2 linked regions of the Anolis sagrei genome follow. The protein of the gene in region 1 interacts with the protein of each later gene in a biochemical or structural test. Links are inferred from orthologs where the notes say so. Each region holds a gene or a part of one and is shown on either strand. Other genes may lie near its edges.

Region 1 (7,665 bases):
TGATATTGAGGAACAAGATTTCCTGTGTTGAGGACTGATTTTTAAAGGAGTTAGAGTTGTATAGAAGGTGTGTTAGGTTGCCACCTAGTGGTATTTTTGTTTTGACTCCTTTAAAAGTATTTTCGCGATTGCCTTCTTGGACGTAATACTTTCTAGACATGTAGGACTACAAATCCCAATCCAACAACTAAGGAATATGGGAGGTATAGTCCAATGCTTCTGGAAAATGCTACCTTGGGAAAGGCTAAACTGAAGCATAGATTTGTTTGGGAAAGGTGAATAAAGAATAGTTCATTTGTTCCAGAAAAAAGAGTTTTTGTTGACTAATAATAATAATGGTGCTCCATGCAGTCATGCTGGCCACATGACCTTTGAGGGTGTCTGTGGACAACTCCAGCTCTTCAGCTTCGAAATGGAGATGAACACCACCACCCGGAGTCAGACATGACTTGACTTAATGTCAGGAGAAACCTTTACCTAATAGTAACAATGTGGCTACGAGAATCCAGTGGTGAATATTAAGTGCAGAATTCTTTATTTATCTGTATGAGGACACAAAGAAGGATGCAGAAAAAAAGAATGTAAAAAAATTCTTCTTGTGTCTACAATTTTGACTATATTCAATTTTCAACAACATTTATTAAACCAAGCTTTTGAAGTTACAGATGTTCTTAGTCTTAAGATTCTGAGAAGGTCCTTTCTTGCCTCTGAAGAATCAAATGTTCTAGACATTAGAACCATATTCTTCAATATCAGTTTGAAACGGCATTAAATGGTAAGTGCAGATGGCCCCTTAGTGAGGACTCCAACCCACCCAGTAGTCAGATACTCAGAAGGCTTTCTTACGACAAAATCAGATATGGGACAGCTGCGGTAGCATAGTGGTCTGCATGTTGGACTAGGACACTGGCAGACCAGGGTTTGAATCTATTGTGAGAATCCCATAACCCGCCCTGCTAGACAAAAATGGCCTTATTAAGCCAGAAGCTCGCTGGACCCTACCCTGCCCCATTGACATCAGCGCTAGCATTGCACATGGTGGGTTTGAAACAAGTTCCTACTGATAAGAACTAGACAAAAGGAGGGTGCAGAGTAGAGGATACAGACCTTGATGTGAAATTGCCTGATTGTCTTAACCAACTCAGTCTGACAGTGATGGAGAGAAGCCCCAAAAGGGTGGCACAACCCTGTGAAACTATAAAAGCAAATGAACTATCACTGCTTGGGATATTGCCATTTTGGAGGCAACACTGGGAAAGTGAAAAGGAGAAACGCACCAAGAGGAAGGTGAGTCAAGTCAAGTAAACCTTTGTTCTGACTGCTTTCCATCTGGAAACCCATATCCTCAATGTGAAAGACTGTGTGGATTCAGAAAAGTTCACAGTCATTTATGGACCCACTTCCAAGACTCTTCATCTGGAAAACAATCGGTCAGGATGGATAATAATTTAATAATAATTTCTTACCCGCAAACCACAGACCACCTATTTAAATGCAGCCTAAGCCCTGCCACATTCACAATGGAGCATCTTTTTATAGCAACACCAGAGGACTGCAAGTGGCCAGCTACTAGTCAATGGACATTTAATAGAATGCCAAGTTTTTAAAACTTTGCCTTCAAAATGACGGTACCCCAAGCAGTGAAAGTTCATTTGCTTTCTCAAATACATTGGTTCGCTCCTGATACGATAAATAAATACCCACCTCTCCTCATGGCTCAAGGCAGGTTACAAAACAATTAAAATACATAAATGCAGCAAAACACTACAAATACACACAATAAAATGTACCTCCATAAAAGTTGCTTATGATGGTTTCATGAAGATATTATTATTATTATTATTGTTATTAATAATAATATCTTCATGAAACCATCATGAAACCATCTTCATGAAACCTTCATGAAACTGCCAAAATAGAATGGGGCTGCATTTCATCTAGGGCCTACCTTTACTATGAACTATCCCTCCACCGTCCCCAAAGCAACACGAGGCCTTCTGAATCTTGCTATAAATGCATATGAGCCTAGCCATACAGATTAATAAGGCATTTTACCTCCCTCCTGAAGGCATCAGATCCCTTCCGATATTGGAAACTGAGCAGGGCCAATCTTCATAACTATGTTGATAGGACAGGGTTTTTTTTCTGTGTCCTGAGCAACTTGAGAATTTGCAAGTGAGAGAATTGGCCGTCTGCAAGGACATTGCCCAGGGGACACCTGGATGTTTTGATGTTTTACCATCCATGTGGGAGGGTACTCTCATGTCCCCACATTGAGAGCTGGAGCTGATAGAGGGAACTCAACCTGCTCTCCCTGGATTTGAACCTCCAACCTGTCGGTCTTCAGTCCTGCCGGCACAAGAGTTTAACCCATTGTACTCCCAGGGGCTTCATGGGACAGGGTATATTTTGGAGAAAAGAAGTGACAGCAAAAGTATGATAGCTGGGACTCAACGCTACCCTAGTTACATAACACGGCTCTGAATTAAGGAAGGGAAGAGGTGCACAAGACAGCAGAGCGAGTGAGAGACGCAGCTGCGTCAGAGTCCTGGGAACTTTGCTCGCCAGAAAGGCGGAGAGGAAACATTTCTACCCCGTTTACCATCTTCGTAAGCCATTGTTTATAATTTAACAGTAAATAACTCTAAGGTACTTCACTCGCCTTAAGCAGTATGCTTGGCTGTTTGTTGTCCCCCACCCATCTTTTCTGACCCGCTTTGTGCATGTCTTCCCTTCATTAATTCTGCCCCGCATTGCGCAACCAGCGAAGGTTTCCAACTACTACTGTAGAATCCCAGCTGTCATACTTTTGCCGGTGACAATCTTTTCTTGCATAGGAGCTTCAGGGAGCTGTAGTAGGCTGTTAGGAATGGTGGGAGTTGAAGTCCAAAACACCTGGAGGGCCCAAGTTTGCTCATGCCTACCCTATAGACCATAAATAAAGTATTATTATTATTATTATAGGAAAACTCACAATTTAAATTCATGGGAATTTATTTGTCGTGTCAGAGCAGCCAGTCCATTATATTACATTTCTAACAGAACAAAGCAAACAAACAGAAAAATACACAACTTGTGAGTTTGGTAGCTGGTTAAATGTCCTTTGACCAGTATCTGGCCACTTGGAGTGCTTCTGGTGTTGCTGCAAGAAGGTCCTCCATTGTGCATGTGGCTGGGCTCAGGTTGCATTGCAGCAGGTGGTCAGTGGTTTGCTCTTCTCCACACTCGCATGTCGAGGATTCTACTTTGTAGCTCCATTTCTGAAGGTTGGCTCTGCATCTCGTGGTGCCAGAGCGCAGTCTGTTCAATGCCTTCCAAGTCGCCCAGTCGCCCAATCCCATGAATTGCTGGTCGCTTCTGGCCACAGATGCGACCAGCAATTCATGGGAATGCCATACGCCGACACAACCCCCTGAAGACACAACCAATAAAGAACAACACCCACAAAACAGGGAATTCCAGACAGGAAACATTCAGGGCCAGCTAACACCTCCCAACAAAGGATCCCCCAGGCTTTGAAGCTGCAATGCTATTCAATACTAATCAAGGTGGACAATTGCAACATTCACACTTGCCTCAAGCAGACAAGAGTTTTCTTCCATCCTGGACATCCCACAGATAGATAATCCTCACTTGCCTAGTTTCCAACAGACTTCACACCCTCTGAGGATGCCTGCCATAGATGTGGGCGAAACGTCAGGAGAGAATGTTTCTGCGACATGGCCAGACAGTCCTGAAAACTGACAGCCACCCAGTGATTCCGGCCATGAAATCCTTCGACCACACAGGCCATTCGGGGAAGCCTAAGGGCTGCGGCCTCTCCTCTCCCTCTCAGTCCCTCCTCGTGTCTTCAAAGGCCTCTCCTCCATCCTCCTCGCTCCCTTCGACGTCGACAAACCTCCACATTTCACCTCCATTCAATAACAATCTTCTCCGTCTCCCGTTACATTGAGAAAGCCGAAGAAGCCTTCAGCGCATGCGCACTCCCCTCCCCTTTCCATCCGAAGGAAGCTCTCACTTATTTATTTAATTTGCCGGAGCGGAAGTGGGCCAGCAGGTTGGCCCTCGGCGCTTTCCGTAGTTCAGGAAGTACCAATTCTCTTCATGCTCGGCGGGGGAGGAAGGCCAAGGCGTGCACCTCTTCTCACGGAGCCTGACCTAGTCGACTTAGATGGAGGCTGTGGCGCGTCCAGAATAGAAGTCTTGAGAGGGAGAGAAGGAGAGAAGGCCGGCTCCTTGTCGGCTGCCAGAACTCCCGCCTTCCCTCCCTCTTTTCCTCGCCTGCTTCGCGGTTGCGCCGGGCTGCTGGGAAGGCAGTGGGCGGGGTCAACGGGCAGCCGTGGCGGCTGGGTAATGGCAGCCCAGTGAAGAGGCTTCGGGGCGGCCAGAGAGAGAGAGACAGAGAGAGAGACGGCGGAGGGGGAGGACGGGGAGACGACGCGGGCCCGGGCCTCTCCTGTTGCCAGGTAACCCCGCGAAGGAAGGAAGGAGGGGAGGGACCCCGCCTTCTGACCCCCCCTCCCTCCCTCCCCACACCCCTTGGCCGCCTCTTCCTCCTCCTCTGGGGCGCCCCGTGCATTCTTTCCCTGCAACACCATGGCCCGACTTTGGCCTCCTCCCCCTCTCACTATATCTCTCTACTATAGTAGATCTGGGCAAACTTGGGCCCTCCAGGTGTTTTGGACTTCAACTCCCACCATTCCTAACAGCCTACTACAGCTCCCAGAAGCCTCCAGCCTGCCAGGGGCTTCTGGGAGCTGTAGTAGGCTGTTAGGAATGGTGGGAGTTGAAGTCCAAAATACCCAAGTTTGCCCAGGCCTACCCTATAGACCAGTGGTTCTCAACCTAGGGGTTGCGGGGGTGGGGGGTGGGGGGGTTGTCAGAGGAGTCGCCAAAGACCTTCAGAAAACACAGTATTTTCTGTAGGTCGAGGGGGTTCTGCATGGGAAGTTTGGGCCAATTGTATCGTTGGTGGGGTTCAGAATTCTCTTTGATTGTAGGTGAACTATAAACCCCAGCAACTGCAGACAAGGGTTCTTTCTCCCACCCTGGACATTCCACAGATATATAAACACCACTTGTCTATTATATATTATTATTTATTAACTTTATTTGTACCCCGCTAGCATCTCCCGAAGGACTCGATGCGGCTTACATAGGCCAAGGCCTCAAAACTCAACATAACAATACAACACCTAAAGCAAATTAAAAACAGTTAAAGCAATATTAACAACAAGCAATAAACAATACATCAAGACACTATAAAACTGGGCCGGGCCAGAGTAATGGGTACAAGATTAAAAGTGCTGATGTGACAGGAGGTATGTGGGATTATAGGGTAAGTGCAGTGTGCAGCAATCTTAGTTCTACTAAAGTGCTTCTGGGACTTCGTATTGGAGATTTCTAATCTGGAAAGGCACATCGGAACAGCCAGGTCTTCAAGTTCTTTCTAAAGACTGCCAATGTAGGGGCCTGTCTAAGATCTTTTGAAAGGGTGTTCCACAGTTGGGGGGCCACCCAAACTTGTCTAGTTTCCAACAAACCTCACAAACTTTGAGGATGCTTTATTGTGTATTATTTTGATATGTTTTACTCACTTGAGGCATTGAATGCTTGCCTTTTTGTATGTATAAACTTTATGATGAGAGGGTAGTCTAGAAATAAAGGTTTGATTATTATTATTATAGATGTGGGTGAAACATCAGGAGAGAATGCTTCTGGAACATGGCCATGCATCCTGGAAAACTCACAGCAATCCTTTGCTCTTCTTTTCTCTCTCTGTGTTGCTTGTTGCCTGTCAAAATACTTATAGGTAATACGTTTCATGCACTTTCTTTGCATCGCTGCAGGTTGGGTTCAGACAAAGTTAGGCTCCATTGAAACCAGTGAAACTTCAAAGCTCATCTAGCTTAGTCTGGATTCAGCCTTATGAGTCCAGGCATTTATGAAAATAACTTAGATGTGTTGTAGTCAAGTAGGCTCCTTGTTCTCGCTTCAGAAACCACAAGAAGTCTGTAGTATATATCACTGAACGACTGGAGGAAGGGATGATGCTGTTCAATCCACCATTTCTGGTTTGCTTTCATTTCAGGTCATAAAATGAGATAAAAAGTGATGGTTATAGGAATCCTGGGAGTAGGAAGTACAACTTACTTGTGACCCCATAGCAAACTCATTCAGGTTTGTTCTCTGATACCGTTGAACATAGGACCAGGTTTAAATGGTTTGAAGGTAGGAGAATAGATTTTCATTGAACATTAGAAAAAAGTTCTTAAGAGCTGTCCAGGACTGGAATAATCTACCTAGAAATATGATGGAATCTGTTTCTCTGGGAATCTTCAGAAAGAGACTGGACAAGCTACCTGCTAGAGATGGGAGTTGGTTAGATGCCGTGACTTATGGAGCCCTTCTAGTTCTAATGATTCATTACATTATCTCAGCAAAACAATATAGATGTTTTGCTCTTCAAAACAACTAGCTGCCATTTATTTACAGTTTGTATCTATAATTTGGAACCTTAAAACATCCATAGCATATTTGTTTAATTCAGAGCTCTTTTTGCTTCAAAAAAGAAAATCTACAGAAATTATCTGTAGAGGCCTGAATTAAAGGTATGAACAGCTGTAGCAAACATAATTATTGTATCACCTGTGTGTATTCTAGGTCAGTTCTTCTCAAGAATCCTGGCATGGAAAATCAGCAGTTTTTCCTAGGGGACTGGTATCCTATGTGTGTCCATTAGCTACAATTATGTCTCTCTGTCTTTCTTTCAAATTCACCAAAGACCAGCATTCAGTGACTCAAAATGGCACAAGTACTATCACTTTGAGCTATGCTGTTCTAGGAAACCTCTTTTAGAAAGGCTCTTGGAATGATGTACATACAAAAAGGGGGGGGGGGGGATTCTGACTGCTACATATCATAAGTCAGGAGTGCAATACCTTTATTCCCAGTCACCAACTGGAAACTGTAGTAACAACAACAAAAGTTAAGTTTGTCGCATTATCTTTAACTCTAGGTATTACTCCTTTTAGATTTTGAAATATCTCCATGAACTGAAATTATTGCTAGATGTAAACTGAAAATACTGTATCACTTTTCTTTTGAATGTTTTTCAAAGTCTCTTGTTGAGTAAGTGTCGCTTTCTGCGGCGTCTTTTGCATCTTCTTGTTTCCTTCCATTTATCATTTTGGCCTAGTTCCTCACCTAAAATATCTCTCTCTCACTGCTTAGGGAAGAAGTTGTAACTGTAACCCGAATTATGCTTTTCTCATTTCAGTTCCATCTCTCTCTCTCTCTCTCTCTCTCTCTTTTTGTTATCCTTGGCTTTCTTTATAAGCCTTTTTTTTAGATATGGTTCCCAAGTAGTTATTTGAATAAAAATAATTATGTTATGTAGTGGAATCTAACTTACCAAAAAAAGCTAAATCTGGCAGTTCTTTAAGCTAATGTTTGCTCTGCTGTTAAATTGTTCTAGATAGCAGGCTACTTCATCTGGTTTATTAAAGTAGTAGAGTTGCATACACAGCTGAATATAATTAATTATTGATGCTTTCCAGTCTTGATAAACATTGTATTATCTAAACACCATTTTTATATTATATTTACATATAACTTGTAAGCTGCACTGAGTCCCCTTCGCGTTGAGAAAGGCGTATATAAATG
Region 2 (7,443 bases), on another chromosome or scaffold:
CCAACCTGGACACAGCATTTTATTTGAGAACACAGAAATGCTGGACCACTCGGACAGCCACCATGTCAGACTACACAGAGAAATACACAAGCATGTGGACAATTTCAACAGAAAGGAGGAAACCATGAAAATGAACAAAATCTGGCTACCAGTATTAAAAAACTCTAAAATTACAACAGCAAAACAACAGAGAGGAAACAATTTATTTATTATTTACTTTATTTATATACTGCTTTTCTTAGCCCTCAGGCAACTCAAAGTGGTGAACAACATTGATACAAAACATCACGAGACAAGTATAGGGCAATTAAAAACAATTGTAACATAAATAATTAAACATCAGTATAACAATCATTAGCGCCTCAACAGTAAAATCAGAATCCAGTCTCATCATCCATTATTCCGTATTCCTATGTTCAATTACACTGTTTAATCAAATGCTTGTTCGAACAGCCAGGTCTTCACTTTCCTCTGGAACGCCAGCAGGGAGGGGGCCAATCTGATATCTGCAGGCAGGGCGTTCCACAGCTGAGGGGGCACCACTGAGAAGGCCCTGTCTCTCGTCTCCACCAAGCGTGCCTGTGATGCAGGCGGGACAGAGAGCAGGACCTCCCCAGATGATCTTAGTGTCCTAGCTGGTTCATAGGAGGAGATGCGTTCGGAGAGGTAAGTAGGGCCAGAACCGTTTAGGGCTTTATAGGCTAACACCAGCACTTTGAATTGTGCCCGGTAGCAAACTGGCAGCCCGTGGAGCTGGCGCAACAGAGGAGTAGTATGCTCCCTGAGTGCTGCTCCTGTTGCAGTAGTCTATACGGTATGTAACCAGAGCGTGGACTACCGCGGCCAAGTCAGACTTCCCAAGGTACGGGCGCAGCTGGCGCACAAGTTTTAACTGTGCGAATGCTCCCCTGGTCACCCTTGAAACCAGGCTCAGAGACGAGTCCAAGATCACACCCAAGCTGCGATCCTGGGGGAGTGTAACCCCGTCCAACACAGGCTGTAATCCTATGCCTATCAGGTACATCTAATCACCTCTCAACAAAATATTGCCCCAGGCACTGCCAGGCCATCAAATGCTAATCAAGGTGGTCAGTTGAAACATTCACATCAACCTCCAACAGACAAGAGTCCTTTGTCCCACCCTGGTCATTCCACAGATATATAAACCCCCTTTTCCTAGTTTCAACTGTACAGGAGTTGATTATAAATTGTATGATTTTAACTGTATTTGTGTTTAGATTGGCTGCAGTAATGCTGGAGCGGCCTAAGTCAGAGGAGTCCTCCATGTGTGTTGCCATGGAGACCGATGCAGGTGAGAGAGAAGTGGGAGGAGCTTAGAGGGGACAGTTTGAAAGAAGGACAGTTAAAAATCAGTTAGGGTTTAGGTTCCGAGGAGTGAGGAGTTAGGGTTTAGGTTTAGAGCAGTTGGTAGAGGAAAGGATTAGGAGGTTGTAGCTGAAAGAGAGTAAATTGTGAAGCAAAGTTTTGAGGGTTTGGAAAACCAGATTAAGCTACTGGAAGTTTCTTAGCCTAGAGAGGCTGATAAGGGAAACGAAGCCAGTATTCCTTTAGTCTAAGGAAAGGCTAAAGAATAATCTTATTAAGTATCTGATCAAGGGAGGATCAGATAAGGGAGACATCCCTGTATTGAAACTTTGTTTTGTAATAAGTGATTCACCTCAGGAAGATACTGTGTAACCTGAAAGAGTGTAACATTCAACTAACCAAGCACTGTTCTAAGTTCTATAACAAAAGTTACGTCTTGCAACCACACGCTGTGTACTTAATAAAATTGTTAACTTTTATTTGAAGACTGCCTCAGCTCTGTCTATTCTGGGTACAAAGTGCCATTTCTCACAATATTACAACTTACCTCACGTGGTGGCAGAAACGCAGGGAAAAGTAACGAAATAAATCTACATTCTTCTCTCCAGTCACGCTACAGTATATACAGTGTAATTACTACTAAGTTATTACTTTCTTAATAAAGGAGGAGGTGCAATTGAACAGCCTCCCTTCCAACTTGATGGTAGATTTGTTCCCTAATCGGAAACCTCCATTGCAAATCGGCCAGTTGCAAATCTCCTGAATACTGGATCCTTTCAAATTGGAGGCAACAATAAATTATCCCTCAGCTCCCTTGCTTCTTTTCACAACAGACCTCACTACCTCTGAGGATGCTTGCCATAGATGCAGGCGAAACGTCAGGAGAGAATGCCAGTGGCTGGATCTGCAAGATTAGTAGAAATATACTGTGGTTGAAGAGGGAGGGAGAGGGAGGGAAGGTGGAAATAATGTAATATACACCAGTGTAAATTAGCATAATGTCTTCAATATTTGTTGAATTACTCAGGATTTATATGTGTAACACTTGGAATTTGGCTTATCGATCTGTGTGTATAACATAATAAAATATCTTAAAAAAAAGAATGCCTCTAGAACAGTGCTTCCTAACCTGGAGACCACCTGAGGGGGTCACGAGTGGGTTTCAGAGGGGTCACCAAAGTCCATCAGAAAACATATATTTCTGATGGTCATAGGAACCCTTTTGGCAGAGAAGGCTAAAGATCTCTCCATCTGTCCTTCTCTTCCTTTTTGGTGTTGGTGAACTACAACTCCCAGAATTCAAAAATACTCCCCATCCCACCCCACCAGTATTCAATGTTGGCCATGTAGGTAGTGTGCTAAGTTTGGTGCAGATCCATTGTGGGCTGGGTTCAGAGTGCTTTTTGATTGTAGGTGAACTATAAATCCCAAATGTCAAGGTCTCTATTCCCCAAACTCCAACAGTGTTCACATTTGGGCATATTGAGTATTTGTGCCAAGTTTGGTCCAGTTCCATCATTGTTTGAGTCCACAGTGCTCTCTGGATGTAGGTGAACTACAACTCCAAAACTCAAGGTCAGTGCCCACCAAACCCTTGTATAGTATTTTCTGTTGGTCGTGGAGGTTCTGTGTGCCAAAATTGGTTTAATTCCATCATTGGTGGAGTTCAGAATGCTCTTTGATTGTAGGTGAATGATAAATCCCAGCAACTACAACTCCCAAATGTCAAGTTCTATTTTCCCCAATCTCCACCAGTATTCACATTTGAGCATATTGAGGATTCATGCCAAGTTTGCTCCAGATTCATCACTGTTTGAGTCCACAGTGCTCTCTGGATGTGGGTGAACTATAATTCCCAAACTCAAGGCCAATGTCCACCAAACCATTCCAGTTTTTTCTGTTGGTCATGGGAGCCCTGTGTGCTAAGTGTGGCCCAATTCCATCATTGGTGGAGTTCAGAATGCTCTTTGATTGTAGGTAAACTATAAATCCCAGCAACAATTCCCAAATGACAAAATCAATTTTTTTGAGTGGAGGACATAAATTGGACGGTTAGGTGTCTTGTGTCCAAATTTGGTGCCAATTCCCCCAGTGGTTTTTGAGTTCTGATGGTAGCACGAACTAACATTACATTTTTATTTATATAGATTTTCCTAGTTCCAACAGACTTCACTACCTCTGAGGATGCTTGCCATAGATGCAGGCGAAACGTCAGGAGTGAATGCCTCTAGAACATGGCCATGTAGCCCGAAAAAATAAACAAGATAGGATCTGTAGGTTTGTTCTTAAGTTGAATTTGTATGCAAGTTGGAACAGGTGCATTTTTACATGCAATTTCATATATATATATATAATGACTTATATACAAGTTCAACTTAAGAACAGACCTACAGAACCTATCTTGCAGAACTATTTTGTGTGTGTGTGTTGAGTGGTCAGTTGAAACATTCACACTTAGCTCCAACAGACAAGAGTTCTGTGTCCCACCCTGGTCACTCCACAGATATATAAACCCTTTTCCCTAGTTCCAACAGACCTCACTATCTCTGAGGATGCTTGCCATAGATGTAGGTGAAGAGTCAGGAGAAAATGCCTCTAGAACATGGCCATATAGCCCGAAAAAACCTACAACAACCCTATCATCCAATGCCTTGTCCACCCTTCGCATCACTCATTTCCCTTAATGACAAGCGGCAGCTGTTTACCCAAACGCCCCGCCCCCTTTTAATACCATCACCGACCTTTTAAGCCAATCGCCTCCCAAGGAGGGCGTGGCCTCGAACTCGCCACGCCCCCCCTCAACCTCAGCGACCACACCGCTGTTAGGATCGCTCCTCCGCACGCGCTGAAGGTACGGTGATTGGCGGCCGCCGCGGCCCAATGGCGAGCGCGGAGCAGGTGGCTTCCCTTTGTAGAGCGCTCAACCAATGGGCGAAGCGTGAAGGGCGTGGCCTGAGGAGTGGCGGGCGAGGCGTCGTATCGCGGCGGCGGGGAAAAGCAGCGTCGTCCAATGGAAGCCGGGAGTGGGCGGGGCGGGACGGCGTTCGGGAGAGCAGCGAGCGGAACGCTTGAGGGAGCCGGCCGGAGCGCTGTGGGCGCGGGGGCTCGCTCGAGGGCGGCACGAAAATGCACTCGGATGCCGCCGCTGTCAGTAAGTGGGGAGCTCGGCGAAGGAAGCGGAGTGGAGGCGGGAGGAGGGGAAGAGGGGATGTGGAAGGGGTGGGGAAAGGAGGAAGCCATCGGTTTGTGAGGGAAAGAGCCCTCGGTGGGACTCTGAGGGAACTGTGACGCAGTTGGCCCCGCTTTGTTCGGCGGCGCAGGAAGGGGGCGTGTGTGTGTGTGTGTGTGTGTGGGCCTCCCTCAAGCCTCCCCTTCCGTCGCCTTTTCTGCCCACTCTGGCGGGGGGGGGGGGAGGGAGAAAGGAACACCCCTCTGCTTCCCCTTCGCTCTGCTTCTCTCTCTCTCTCTCTCTCCGCTGCATTGTGGGAGTTTGAGTCCTCGGCTCCCTGCTCTTGCGCGTAGTCTTACTGGGCTGCGCACTACAACTCCCAGAATGCATTGCACACCCAACTGTCATCCCACCCCCTCCTCCTCTTTCCCTGTCCTTTTTCCTCTCCCCTCCGCCCCCATGACAGCGAACCCCACTCCAATGATCCTGTCGAAATCCAAGAGGCCATACTTGGGCCATCCAGCCCAACCCCCTTCTGCCACGCAGGAAAAGCACAATCATAGAATCCTAGAGTTGGAAGAGACCTCATGGGCCATCCAGTCCAACCCCCTGCCAAGAAGCATAATAATAACCTATCTATCTATCTATCTATCTATCTATCTATCTATCAATGCTCTGTGCGTAATGAGTACCTTAAAAACAAAAGAACCAATGAACGAAATCACACCAAATTTGGAAACAAAACATCTCACAACACAAGGAGAGACCATCACTCAAAATAGATGATTTTGTCATTTAAGAGTTGTACTTTCTTGGATGTATAGTTCACCTATAATCAAAGAGCATTTTGAACCCCACCAACGATGGAATTGAACCAAACTTTGCACACAGGACTCCCCTGACCAACAGACAACACTAGAAGGGTTTGGTGGGCAGCAATACTCAATATGCTCAATGTGAACATAGAATCATAGAATCAAAGAGTTGGAAGAGACCTCATGTGCCATCCAGTCCAACCCCTGCCAAGAAGCAGGAATATTACATTCAAATCACCCCTGACAGATGGCCATTCAGCCTCTGTTTAAAAGCTTCCAAAGAAGGAGCCTCCACCACATTCCGGGGCAGAGAGTTCCACTGCTGAACGGCTCTCACAGTCAGGAAGTTCATCCTCATGTTCAGATGGAATCTCCTTTCTTGTAGTTTGAAGCCATTGTTCTGGTCCTAGTCTCCAAGAAAGCAGAAAACAAGCTTGCTCCCTCCTCCCTGTGGCTTCCTCTCACATATTTATACATGGCTATCATATCTCCTCTCAGCCTTCTCTTCTTCAGGCTAAACATGCCCAGCTCCTTAGGCCGCTCCTCATAGGGCTTGTTCTCCAGACCCGTGATCGTTTTAGTTGCCCTCCTCTGGACACATTCCAGCTTGTCAATATCTCTCTTGAATTGTGGTGCCCAGAATTGGACACAATATTCCAGATGTGGTCTAACCAAAGCAGAATAGAGGGGTAGCATTACTTCCCTAGATCTAGACACTATGCTCCTATTGATGCAGGCCAAAATCCCATTGCCTTTTTTTGCCGCCACATCACATTGTTGGCTCATCCAGATAAGATCCATGAATTATTTTTCAAACGAAGTATACAGTAAATGGAGGCATAATAATTATCTATCTATCTATCTGTCTATCTATCTATCTATCTATCTATCTATCTATAAATGCTCTGTGCGTAATGAGTACCTTAAAAACAAAAGAACCAATGAACGAAATCACACCAAATTTGGCAACAAAACATCTCACAACACAAGGAGTGACCATCACTCAAAACATTATGATTTTGTCATTTGGGAGTTGTAGTTTCTGGGATTTATAGTTCACCTATAATCAAAGAGCATTCTGAACTCCACCAACGATGGAATTGAACCAAACTTGGCACACAGGACTCCCCTGACCAACAGACAACACTAGAAAGGTTTGGTGGGCACCAATACTCAATATGCTCAATGTCAACATAGAATTATAGAATCAAAGAGTTGGAAGAGACTTCATGGGCCATCCAGTCCAACCCCTGCCAAGAAGCAGGAATGTTGCATTCAAATCACCCCTGACAGATGGCCATTCAGCCCCTGTTTAAAAGCTTCCAAAGAAGGAGCCTCCACCACATTCCGGGGCAGAGAGTTTCACTGCTGAACGGCTCTCACAGTCAGGAAGTTCTTCCTCGTGTTCAGATGGAATCTCCTCTCTTGTAGTTTGAAGCCATTGTTCCGCATCCTAGTCTCCAAGGAAGCAGAAAACAAGCTTGCTCCCTCCTCCCTGTAGCTTCCTCTCACATATTTATACATGGCACCAGTAATCAATATGTTCAATGTGAACATGGGTGGAGTTTGGGGGAAATAGATTTTGACATTTAGGAGTTGTAGTTGCTGGGATTAATAGTTCACCTACAATCAAAGAGCATTCTGAACTCCACCAATGATGGAATTGAACAAAACTTGGCACACAGTCCTCCCATGACCAACAGAAAATACTGGAAGGGTTTGGTGGGTATTCACCTTGAGTTTTGGAGTTGTAGTTCACCTACATCCAGAGAGCACTGTGGACTCAAAACAATGATGAATCTGGACCAAACTTAGCACGAATACTTAACATGCCCAAATATAAACACAGATGGAGTTTGGGGGAAATAGGCCTTGACATTTGGGAATTGTAGTTACTGGGATTTATAGTTCACTTACAATCAAGGAGCATTCTGAACCACACCTACAACAATTGGGCCAAACATCCCACACAGAACCCTCATGACCAACAGAAAATGCTGTGTTTTCTGGTGGTCTTTGGCGACCCTTCTGATGCTCCCTTGCAACCCCCTCCAAGGGTCCCAAACCCCAGGTTGAGAAAGGCTGCCTTAAGGCCATCCAGTCCAATTCCCTTCACCAGGGCAAGAAAACATA

Evidence for each region.
Region 2: of the proteins of CUL2 (region 1) and DCUN1D4, one has a biochemical effect on the other in vitro, tested with the Homo sapiens proteins (2 studies listed by BioGRID, with this or other methods). The link is inferred for Anolis sagrei from reciprocal best matches to the Homo sapiens genes CUL2 and DCUN1D4.

Annotation. Positions count from the first base shown.
Region 1 is NC_090026.1:114,118,930-114,126,594, reverse strand, and holds the start of CUL2 (cullin-2), read left to right. Parts: upstream 1-4,049; 5' UTR 4,050-4,466; intron 4,467-7,665.
Region 2 is NC_090025.1:75,561,461-75,568,903, reverse strand, and holds the start of DCUN1D4 (DCN1-like protein 4), read left to right. Parts: upstream 1-4,359; 5' UTR 4,360-4,452; coding exon 4,453-4,477; intron 4,478-7,443. UniProt on the Homo sapiens protein: Contributes to the neddylation of all cullins by transferring NEDD8 from N-terminally acetylated NEDD8-conjugating E2s enzyme to different cullin C-terminal domain-RBX complexes which are necessary for the activation of cullin-RING E3 ubiquitin ligases (CRLs).